Linked DNA regions of Schizosaccharomyces pombe. The protein of the gene in region 1 purifies or fractionates together with the protein of each later gene. This does not show direct contact. Each region holds a gene or a part of one and is shown on either strand. Other genes may lie near its edges. The genes, in order: cid13, pabp and rad25.

The links.
Region 2: the proteins of cid13 (region 1) and pabp purify together in Schizosaccharomyces pombe (affinity purification with western blotting; one study listed by BioGRID). This does not show direct contact.
Region 3: the proteins of cid13 (region 1) and rad25 purify together in Schizosaccharomyces pombe (affinity purification with mass spectrometry, with the first as the bait; one study listed by BioGRID). This does not show direct contact.

Annotation. Positions count from the first base shown.
Region 1 is NC_003424.3:984,793-988,548, forward strand, and holds the start of cid13 (cytoplasmic poly(A) polymerase Cid13), read right to left. Parts: upstream 2,229-3,756; 5' UTR 1,956-2,228; coding exon 219-1,955; 3' UTR 1-218. Other genes in the region: tif308 (translation initiation factor eIF3h (p40)), read left to right, coding at 3,605-3,630, 3,670-3,756. UniProt on the Schizosaccharomyces pombe protein: Polymerase that creates the 3' poly(A) tail of suc22 mRNA.
Region 2 is NC_003424.3:1,540,679-1,544,434, reverse strand, and holds the start of pabp (major poly(A) binding protein Pabp/Pab1), read right to left. Parts: upstream 1,650-3,756; 5' UTR 1,571-1,649; coding exon 1-1,570. UniProt on the Schizosaccharomyces pombe protein: Binds the poly(A) tail of mRNA. Appears to be an important mediator of the multiple roles of the poly(A) tail in mRNA biogenesis, stability and translation. In the nucleus, involved in both mRNA cleavage and polyadenylation.
Region 3 is NC_003424.3:3,582,830-3,586,585, reverse strand, and holds rad25 (14-3-3 protein Rad25), read left to right. Parts: upstream 1-1,744; 5' UTR 1,745-1,806; coding exon 1,807-1,873; intron 1,874-2,590; coding exon 2,591-3,336; 3' UTR 3,337-3,458; downstream 3,459-3,756. Other genes in the region: vacuolar CorA family magnesium ion transmembrane transporter Mnr2, read right to left, coding at 1-151; rrp1 (ATP-dependent DNA helicase), read right to left, coding at 3,670-3,756. UniProt on the Schizosaccharomyces pombe protein: Acts in cell cycle and stress checkpoint signaling by sequestering signal transducers regulated by the checkpoints. Required for the DNA damage checkpoint that ensures that DNA damage is repaired before mitosis is attempted.

The DNA.
Region 1 (3,756 bases):
TTCCTAAGTCATTTTATCATTAAATATAACGGAAGAAAGGAAAAAGAAAAGAAGAAGTAAAGTGGACAACAAAGATAAACGAAAGCGGGCAAGCGAATAAGGCTCAAGTATTGGCGAAATCAATATGCAAAAATAATGTAAAAAGTATGAATTAGAAAAATTAAGATAGAAAGATAGCTACTAACGAACCATCAGCGAACGTCACCAAACCTTCAGCATCAACTCTTGAATGCTTGTACTGTGGATAATACCGGCTCACTGTGTAAGCTAACTGGCGATACTACTTCAGAAGAAGAGGAATTTGAAGGAGGTGAATTGTTATCCGTAGGAGTAAAAGAGAAGGCATCAGGATAGTACTGGAATGGACCCGAAGATTGCTTCTTTTTGTGAAACTTATTGCGAGAATATCGCCGAGAATTAGACAAATTTTTTTCGTGACGATCCCCGCCATGCCTCTCATCAAAATGGTGTGAAGATTTGGGGTAGGGAGAATTATACCATGTATAAAAGTCCATGTATGAGGGTGGAAGATAGCTATTATTATTAATATAGCATGCATAGGTGTAAGGGTCAACAAAGGTATAAGGGACATTGGGAGGGATTGCAGGGACGTCGTTTGAGTATATAGAAGAGTAGTCAATGGATGAATTAATATTCTGATTATAATAGGGAGAAGCGGTTGCATTATAAGGATCAAAGGCCCAAGCAAAATGTGATGGCTCAGGAGGGGATTCTGTACAGCTGGTGTCCGAAGAGTCACGACCATGGGAGAAACCAGGAACTATTTCCAATTGTAGTTCATTTACATAATCGTCCATAAAGCTTGTGTCAGTTAGAGAGGGAAAAGTAAATTGCGAACAAGCATCGTCGACATTGCAATTATACGCTAAAAGACGGAAAACACGTCGAAATTCCAATTGTATTCCTTTCATGGTAATCTCATCTGCAGTATTAGCTAGATTTCGAGATGTATGGAAAGGCTCTTCAACACACAGAAAATTGTTAAGCTGAAATTGCCATCCTTTTGCTCGTTTCGAAAGAAAGGTACCGTGTCTAATGGATAAAACAAAATGCTCGTAATCAAATAAATAACCAAAAAATCGAAAAAACTCTACGAACAGGATACCAAGAGACTCCTCGTTTTTGTCACCAAAACCATGAACAAGATCTGGATCGTCGAAAAACGACACATCCAGCCCGTCAGTCATAGTAGACGAATCTTGTAAATGAGGAAGCATTTGCAAGCTGGGAAGAATCGGTGGATCGCGCTTTTGTAAAAAGTTTATAACCATACAGCTTATGGTGTAAGAAGTGAGTGTACCGCCCTCGGCAGCGTCATTCAAGCATCGTCTTTTTGCCCAATATTTAATCATAACAATCAAGGGCCGAACTCGGGGATCACAAAGAACGTAAGAGCGCATCAAACGCGTGTTTAAGGTAGATATAGTTTTATTGATATTGCAATCGCATGATAGTTGTAATTCTGAGTCCCAAACCTTTACAATTGGCACTTTAGCTGTTGAAATGCAAACGACCTTTTTAAGTCCGTTCCTAGCAAAGGCAGCTGACACCTCGCAGGTCGTTGGAGCACATTGAGGCGGATCAGTAATGATACACAAATCAATGTCTGATGCATTGCTGGCAAGAAGAGATTGGGTTGACCCAAAAAGGGAGGTTTTGATATTTTTATAGGGGAATTCTTTTTTCAATATTTGTTCGAGTTTCTGCACAAATGCATATCGACGTTCTAAACCCGAGTCGTTCAGTATAATAGAGTCATACAACTCGTACAGTTGAGAAGAAATTAGATCAGTATCAATATCAACTAAATTCTTTAATGATAGAGGATGTACTGGCGGAAGTGGATCCGCACCGAGGCTATAAGGAATACGCCTTCTATATTGAAAGCTGCGAGTTTCAAATTTGCAACCGCCAACGCAATTAGCGTTGTCCATAGTATTAAGAGGGTAAGAAGCTTCTAAGGTTTAATAAGTTGCAAATTCTCTATGGATTCCGACGTTATCCTACCTTGTCAGCTAGTAAAGGCGTGAGTTCTTTGTAATATGATCAGCTTTGATCTGAAACGATCCAGCAAGAACAGTTCAAATGTACGAGCCCTATCGACAAGAAAAGACAATTTAGAAGTACTTCTAAGTTTCAAGATCGTATTGATGAATTAATATGAAGTTGGTAATGTTTGTAGCTATTCTTAGGAAGAGGTGTGGGATAAAAGAACCGCCTAACAGCAATACGTACGTACATAGGTATCAGCTTTCCTACACAAGGAACAAGTACGGCATCAACATAGGATCGGTAAATAAGTAACAAATGAATATACAACGCCGTTATAAAGTAACCTTAATATATTCACGTAAGACACCTTTAAAGCAACGTTCAGCTAATGATATTTTTACAATCTTCAACTGAAAACAATAAACAAAGTAATCATCAAAGAAAAAACGCAAACAATGACGTTGGCATGACAACGAGCATAATTGACACCTTTCTTGACGTTTTGACGTTAAATAGCGTGATTCCGTAATCTGCGTTATTCTATAAACAAACTAGCAATACATAAACATACATGATCAATGTTGCTCCCACAAAGCATGGACTTGACTTTCCAATTGAGTGGAAACGTTCGTGTAATACTTTACTACTAACGAATGTACAGCAGACAATATTAAATAAAAAACGCCGCCAAGTAAGCTATCCATCTAACTCCAAATACCATACAATTGACTCCTTTAATAAGAAACATAAATCAAACAATCTAACGGAATTTGAAATCGTTTCATTTATTCACTAAAATCTACGCTAAAACATGACACAACTTCATCTAGAAATTACATCTATGTCATCAAACGACACCACAGTTGTAATATAATAGATGAAATTAAACACGTCAGAAAACACCAGCTGCCCTACATAATACGACCAAAAGGAAACATATCATGTAAGAGATCATCGCATAGAAAGACAGCAAAACAATTAGGTAAAAAACCTAATCGAAAAGCATGCCTTCAAAGAATTAAAAGTCCTCACTCTGAGGGCAACGGTGCCTCCTATCATCATCCGTGTTGAGTTCTGTGGCTAGGTTAGGAAACCCAAGCCGGACGTATACTATAGAAATGATCCTATGGAGTATCGTCGATAGTGTTTTGTTGAGGATAATGACCCGTATATATAGTAAATATAACGGAAAAGCAGTCACATTCATTTCCAATCAACGAATAATGTTGAACTTTCAAGTATAATGCAGTGTCAATTACACTATATTAAAAAGACTTTGCAAGGCGGTGAAGCTGCTCTTAAATTACAATAAGCATGAAAATCATATTTCGGTAAATTAGTAAAAGAAGTCATGAAAATAGAGCTTAAGGCCGAGAAAACAAAAAAAAAATTTACAAATTTTTTAACTAGTTAGAAAAGGTTTAATAAAACTGGTAGGCTCCTCTATTCTATAACTTGTAATCGCCGACAGCCATGGCTTTAAAAAGTTGCTACTTGTTGTTACTTGTCATTAAACTGGTGAACACTAACTCCTTTAGAAGTTCGTACAGCAATTTGCACTTCAACCAACTACTTGGCAGACTTAAAAAACATGTCTGATACAACTTCATTGAATGTGTAAGAATGACTAAGATATATAAATAACTAATTCAGTAGTCCAGAATTGGAGTCTCCCCCTATTGAGCGGGTGGAATTAGAATCTTTACTTGTAATGAATATCATCAAGCACTGCCGTGATTCTTT
Region 2 (3,756 bases), 560 kb from region 1:
CTCCAGCAGGGAACTGAGTGGGCATGCCAGGATACATAGGCATAGGGCCATTATGTCCAGGAACCATAGGCATACCACGACCATTGACGGCAGCAGGAATAGGATAACCACCAGGACCGTAAATAAGAGGACCAGTGGCACCATATTGAACAGCGGGAATGCCGGCAGCAGCGGCAACTTGTTGTTGTAAACGGAATTGGTTACGCGCCTGGATTTGAGCCTCCAACTGACTACGGCGAACCTCCTTACGTTGAGCCAAAGCAACGTAAAGGGGCTTACCAGCAAGCATACGCTGGTTCATCTCAGTAACAGCCTTGTTGGCCTCCTCAGGAGTGGTGTAGCAAACGAAACCGAAACCCTTAGACTTGCCTTGCTCATCGGTCATGATCTTGGCAGAAGTGATGGTTCCAAAGGCAGAAAATTCAGCCTTAAGACGCTCATCGTCAACCTCGTCCTGCAAGTTTTTAATGAACAAATTGACACCTTGATATTTGTTCATCTTCTCAAGCTTCATTTGTTCATAACGCTTACGAAGCTCCTCTTCGCGCTCATGCTTCTTTTGAGCACGACCAACATAAAGCTTCTTACCCTTGTACTCCTTGTCGTTGAGCTCATCAACGGCCTTTTGAGCACATTCGTGGTTGGCATAGTTGACGAAACCAAAACCACGAGGTTTGTCATTCTGATCCTTGACAAGAGAGAGAGAGGTGATCTCACCGAATTGACCAAAGAGGTCGGAGAACTCTTGTTCGGTAATTTCGGTGTCAAGGTTCTTAATGTAGACGTTGGTAAAGTTTGCCTTCAAAGCCTCAACCTTGGATTGACGCTCACGGCGGCTAACATGATGACCGACATAAACCTTTTTGTCGTTCAAAAGCATGCCATTGACATGCTCGATAGCAGCATTGGCAGACTCGACCGAGTCAAAATGCACAAAACCGTAACCTTTAGCATTACCTAACTCATCAACAGCAACCTTGCAGGACAAAATCTTACCAAAGGCGGAGAAAGTGTCGTGTAAAGCCTTGTTGTCGATGGCAGGATCCAAGTTTTTGATGAAAACGTTACCAGTACCCATTTTACGCAAGGATGGGTCACGTTGAGACCACATGATGCGGCAAGGACGTCCTTTGATGAGAGTATAGTTAAGCTCATCCAAGGCCTTCTCACCATCTTCCATATTGTGGAAGTTGACATAGGCATAACCCAAAGAACGGCGAGTAACGGCATCACGGCAAACACGAATACTTGCAACGGGTCCAATACTGTTAAACAGCTCAAAAAGCATAGCCTCAGTGACGGAGGGATCGAGCTCACCAACGTACAAGGAAGCACTGGTGGGAGCAGTGCCAGAGGGAGTGGCAACCGAACTAGCATTAGTAGGGGTAGAGGTAGACTCGGAGGGTTCGGCAGCGGCTTCAGGCTCCTCTGCCTTCTTCTCGGGTTGAGTTTCGGTGGAAGGAGTGTTGGAAGACTCCTCCTTGGTAGAAGACTCAACAGCCTCGTTGTTGGTATTTACATCGCTCTCAACGGCGGCATCAGCTTGCTTCTTAAGATCCGTGGAAGGCATGGCGTTTTCAGAATTTTAAAAACTTGGGCTTTTATGATATTTTTCGAGATTTTTTTAAATTTATAGGTTTTGTGGTTTGCGAAGGAAGGAATGTGTGGTGGGCGAAAATTTAAATCACAGCACTGTACTCCGGTATCTTGAACTCCGAAAGAAAACCCAACTTAATAAATAAAATGTGAGTACACTACGTAAAGTAAGGCAGAAATCAAAGAATTACCATAAAAGAAAAGGCAAAAGAAAACAAAGGAAAAGGCGAAAAAATTTTTGGAAGGAAAAAATATGGAATTGCAGTGCAAGAGTGCTTGTTTAAATTTTGGGGAAAATTTCGATGAGATGGGGATTTCCTTTCTACCAAAACAAACAAGGAATCTCAACGAAATGTCGTAAATATACTTTAATAAATGAGTTTCTACAACTACAGTATAAGGAATAGATTTGGTATGTGATATCGGCACACTAAATAGGTTATTTGAGACACGCACAAATGGTAGGCAAAAGAGTAAAAGGAGGTGAAATTCCGAACAAAGAAAGCACAGGGATTAGGATAGACGTGTCATAAAAGCAAAACAAAGAGTGGAATTTTACGGGACAATGTATGTGAAATTTTATGTTGGCAGGACGACAGAGTATTATAGGAACTTGACTATGCATATGGTTCAATTGAACAAACAGATAAATCGTAGAAAGATTATGAATGTGTGTATAAAAAATCAATTGGGTGGTAGAGAATAAGTTGGAAATTTTTATTGCAATTGCTTTTAATTTTGTTTTGTTTTGATTTCTTTTCTTTTCTCTCTTTTTTTGTAACTAGACTATAACTGAAAAAGACTATCGAAACAGTGTTGGAACGAGATACATAAAACCAAGTTGTTTACATATACGATTATGATCATGAGACGACATTGAGTACGCTATTATTTATTTTTTTGCCTTGTTTTCCTCTTATAACTCGTTATGTCGCATTTCGCATCTCTCTCATCGCCAAAATCTTGAAACTCAATTTAACACATTTTACCGTGCTTACGCTATTTACAGCATATCGAAAAGCGACGACAACTTTGCGCAGTACGGAAATTTAAGCTTGAATGTGTCGAATATGGATTTGCATGGGCGACACAAGCGCCCTTTATCGTATATGGGGACAGTAAGCGCAGATGATGTAAAAATGGAAGTGAGTGACAAAGTTGGGGGGACGAGGGGATAGGAAATCATGAGGAAGTTTAGCGCTATCCAAGGCACCCCAATAACCCTTCCATGGACGTAAAGGTATGGGTAAGAGCCGAGCGTGATGGCAAGTGTAAAAGATAGCAGGAGATAGATTATGGGAGAAAAAGAAAATGAGGACGAGCAATTTATAAGCGGTTAAAAAAAAAAAAAAAAAAAAAAAAAAAACTGTCTCAGTAAGCAATGGCGGATATATATAACCGAAAAAGGGTAGATAAAAAGGAAAAGGACAGGAGAAAACGAAATGGGCAGAAGCGAGAGCCAAAAGTGGCCGAATGGAAAAGTGGGTTAGGGAAGAGGAAGAAGGGTTTCCGTACTAGTACCTTAGTTACTTGTGAGTAATGAGTCACTAATAATAATAAAAAAAAAAGTAGCGCTCGAATCGGTATTGGAATTGAAAGTGTTGCGCTTTTTTGAGGCAATGTCTCAACCAATCGTACCAAACTCTCAATAATTTTCAAGTATACGAACTATATCACTTTGTAATGATACAAGCAAAGTAAAAAGGGAAAAAATAGTAGAGTATTGAAAAATAGACTATATACATGGTTTGTATTTTTATTCATATTCACTACATCTGTTCAATTACAACCAAAAATCATTAAACCCTCCTTCTTTTAACTACAGTGCTGCAAGATCCCCTCTTGTCATTCATCTCTTATATTTTCCATCTCTCTCCATCATCGCCAAATCTTTTTTTCTCGTTACATCTCCTCAAGCCACTTTTTCCTGCAACCCTATTTTCAAATTGGGCATGTCCGATTCTCCGTCAATAGACATGCTGATCAAACACTACGTCCTCTACTCTCTTACCATATTGTACACTTAGACATCGTGGAGGGTCTGCCTAGTCGTGTCTCTTAGTTTATCGAGCATTCCATCTTCATCGAGTATCTGAAAGAGACGAAAATTTTTTGACCCAATATTTCATTGATAAAATTCTCGACTCCTTGTGCCCTTGC
Region 3 (3,756 bases), 2.6 Mb from region 1:
CTTCGTCTGGTTGCAAACTAGGGTCCACTGGAAATCGATGTTTAGATTTACTCGAGTGTTTACGATCAGAAAATCTAGGCCTGTTCTGCATCCTAGCATTTTGTTTGTAATAAAAGCCCGTAGGCACTGACCGGGATGTATTGGATGGCATAATTCAAACAGGATTATGGATGCTAAGAATTGACAGGTTGTATAGCAATGAATGTATTATTCTTGGTTTATCAAAATAGTTATAATGCCAAAGAGATCGAATAGCGTTTGGTTTAACAAACTAACGGTTTGTGGATTATTTATATAATTACTCTATTGGTGAGAAAGAGAGGATTTCTGCCCACATTTGATTGAGAGGTTTGAATTTATTAAAAATATTTAAAGAATAATTTCACAAAACTCAAACAACAGAGGAAATGCCAATTTTTAGAGATGTGTTGTTGAGGTGTGGCAGCTAAGACGCTTATCATTGATATGGAAGGCAATTTTTTAAAGACCCCCAAATCATATACCAGACAAAATACAGTATCTTTAAGCATAGTTTTGTTTAATTTCATCAATATTTTTGAAGTGTATTTGTAAGAATCCAATGCAGCATAATTAAATTCATTTCCGGCCTACACATATTGAACCAGGTTCAAATTGGTGCAAATTAATTATTTTCTTGTAAGGATGAATAGAATTGGTTAGTAAATTCTGCTGAAGTTGCACATAAGAGGACGGTTTTGTTTACTAGACAAAATAAGTACCGCGACTTATAAAAAATCTTATCCCAACCAGATTGTCCCTTGTAACAATTTAAAATCCTACTTTTCGTATTACCGCGCAATCAAGTTGCCCACAACGGGACTGCAGCATTGCAGTAGAAACCCCATCAAACGTGTAAGTGAAATGAGCGAACAATAACCCTGAAATTATAAAGTCGTATTATCTTGTTTAAATCAACTCATACCTTTTTCATATAAGAATATCGTATTGTTTCAGGATAACAGAAACAATTTCAGGGAAACTTGAAAGGTTTATGATAAACGCAGTATGCAATTTTAGAACAACGAGAATTAAAAAACTTTACATTTAAGCCAAGAAGTATTAAGTTTAAAATACACAAGTTGAAGGAGCAATTAATCAGCACAATGTAATTTGATCTTTTTTGTTCGTAAAATTACCGTTTGCGGTAATCACCAATCTGTGATGACAACGCCGAAAAGCAGCTTACATAATAACACACACTTTTCAGCTCACTGTACTCCTTTGTAGTCAATGTAATATAATGGAATTTCGCCGCCTCCTACGGATATTCAAGCATATCGCATATGCCATCGAAAACTAAAGAAAAACGCCTTCTTCTTGAAGCTTCCTGCATAGAGTGATAAAAAACCTTCTAAAACTTCTTTGCCCCTAAAGTAAGCCTCTTGTTTCTGTCAAGCTTCCTCAATTATTGCACTCATTGTTTTAACTGTAATCTTTCACGCTTATGTTTGATACTTGGTATCTTGTTTTCGAAAGAAAAACTTATTGTAACATACTTTAAGACAGCAATTCCTCATTCAGTGAGTAAAAACGCGTTTTCTACCGAATTCCTATTGACACTGGGCATTTGTTTGGCATTTGTTTTTGGAAGCCTAATCATACGTGTAAGAAGTATTTTTACGATATTGTAAAAGAATAAGAGAGGTGTAGTGATGTTTCTGTTAGATATCCATAAATCTCAGTATAGTCCGTCATATATTCGGCTGACCAACCAACCTTCCCAACTTTCCTTTCTCACTTCTACCAACCTCAACTAACCACCGCTTTTAATAATTCCTTGCAAATATGAGTAATTCTCGTGAAAACTCGGTGTATCTCGCCAAGTTGGCCGAACAGGCTGAACGCTACGAAGGTATGTGATAAGGATCCGCTGTTGGAAGTAGATATAGCGTAATAGTACGAAATTGTCAATGAAGGGACCTTGATGAAAAGTTATTATATTGCAGTTTGCTACTGTATGTGGGAGTTCTTTGGTTTTTTAATATTGTTGGTCTTGAACAGGTTGCGTTGTTGAATGTTGCAAGGTTGTTTGTTTGATGCGGCTGAGAAAAAGAGGGGTTATGGGTTAGTACGTGGATGACTTGTGTATTTTAAAATGTCCCCAAAATCGCTTGATGAGGTTTAAAATGAGTTCTTACAACATTGTTTTGTTGTTGGACATGTTTATGATATCTGAGGTTATGGACAAGAACGGCTTGCAATTCTCTTGATTTTATGGTTTTCGTAATCATTATTTTTTGTCGCCTTTGTTCTATTTCCTACCTTGCTTCCTTTTTTCTCTTAAAACCACGATTGAACTGCCTTGATTGTCTTATCATTCTTATCTCCTCTTATGATTTGAGGTTTCTTTGTAACCACCAAGACAAAGAAATTCACTAACATCAGGAGTAACACGAAACACCGTTCTGTAGGTAAACCTCAACGCAATTAAGGATATTATTACCTTCATATCTTCACCATGCAATGATAACTCGTTTTGAATTACTGTTTGTTGACCCGTCTATACTTGGCTTTGCTTCTTTCATCTCTCCTTTTTGTTTTTGCTTCTTTGCTAACTGATAATGTATAGAAATGGTCGAAAATATGAAGAAAGTTGCATGCTCAAACGATAAACTTTCTGTTGAAGAACGTAACTTGCTTTCTGTTGCCTATAAAAACATCATTGGTGCTCGCAGAGCATCATGGCGTATTATTTCCTCTATAGAGCAAAAGGAGGAAAGTAGGGGCAACACTCGACAAGCCGCATTGATTAAAGAGTACCGTAAGAAGATTGAAGATGAGTTATCCGATATTTGTCATGACGTCCTTTCCGTCCTTGAAAAGCATTTGATTCCTGCCGCTACAACCGGTGAATCCAAGGTATTTTACTATAAAATGAAGGGTGATTACTATCGTTATTTGGCCGAATTTACTGTTGGCGAAGTTTGCAAAGAGGCCGCCGACAGCTCTTTAGAAGCTTACAAGGCAGCTTCTGACATTGCTGTTGCTGAGTTGCCTCCCACGGACCCTATGCGCTTGGGTTTGGCTCTCAACTTTTCCGTCTTCTATTATGAAATCCTTGACTCTCCAGAAAGTGCATGCCATTTGGCTAAACAAGTATTTGATGAGGCCATTTCAGAGCTCGATAGTCTTTCTGAAGAATCTTACAAAGACTCTACTTTAATCATGCAGCTTCTTCGCGATAACTTGACTTTATGGACTTCTGACGCCGAATACAACCAGTCTGCTAAGGAGGAGGCTCCTGCTGCCGCTGCTGCTTCTGAAAACGAACATCCCGAGCCCAAAGAGTCTACGACTGACACTGTTAAAGCTTGAAACTAAAGCGTTAGCATTTTATCAGTAAACGGATCCTAATGGTCTGATTACTTTTGCATATATGAACTGATACCTATGATTTATCTAATATTCGTAGCCATATAACAAAGTTATCTTCATTATATTCTTCTTGCACTTTATTTCTATCATTTATAAATTTATAACTTTGATTACGTTTCATGAGTAGTTAGTTTGGCTTTGTGGCCTTAAAACCATCAAAGCATACTATTATTATACATTGTACATGCGTTACACTACACCACCCCTTTTTTTAACGTTTAGTTTAGTATGCAGTAGAGTATAGTTCATTTGAGTAACGTTAACATTAAATAATCATGAATTAAGCCCAAATAGATATAGCAACTCTTCTTTGTCAAGTCTCGACAGAGGATTGTTTTCGTTTGAATCCAAAGCTTCTTT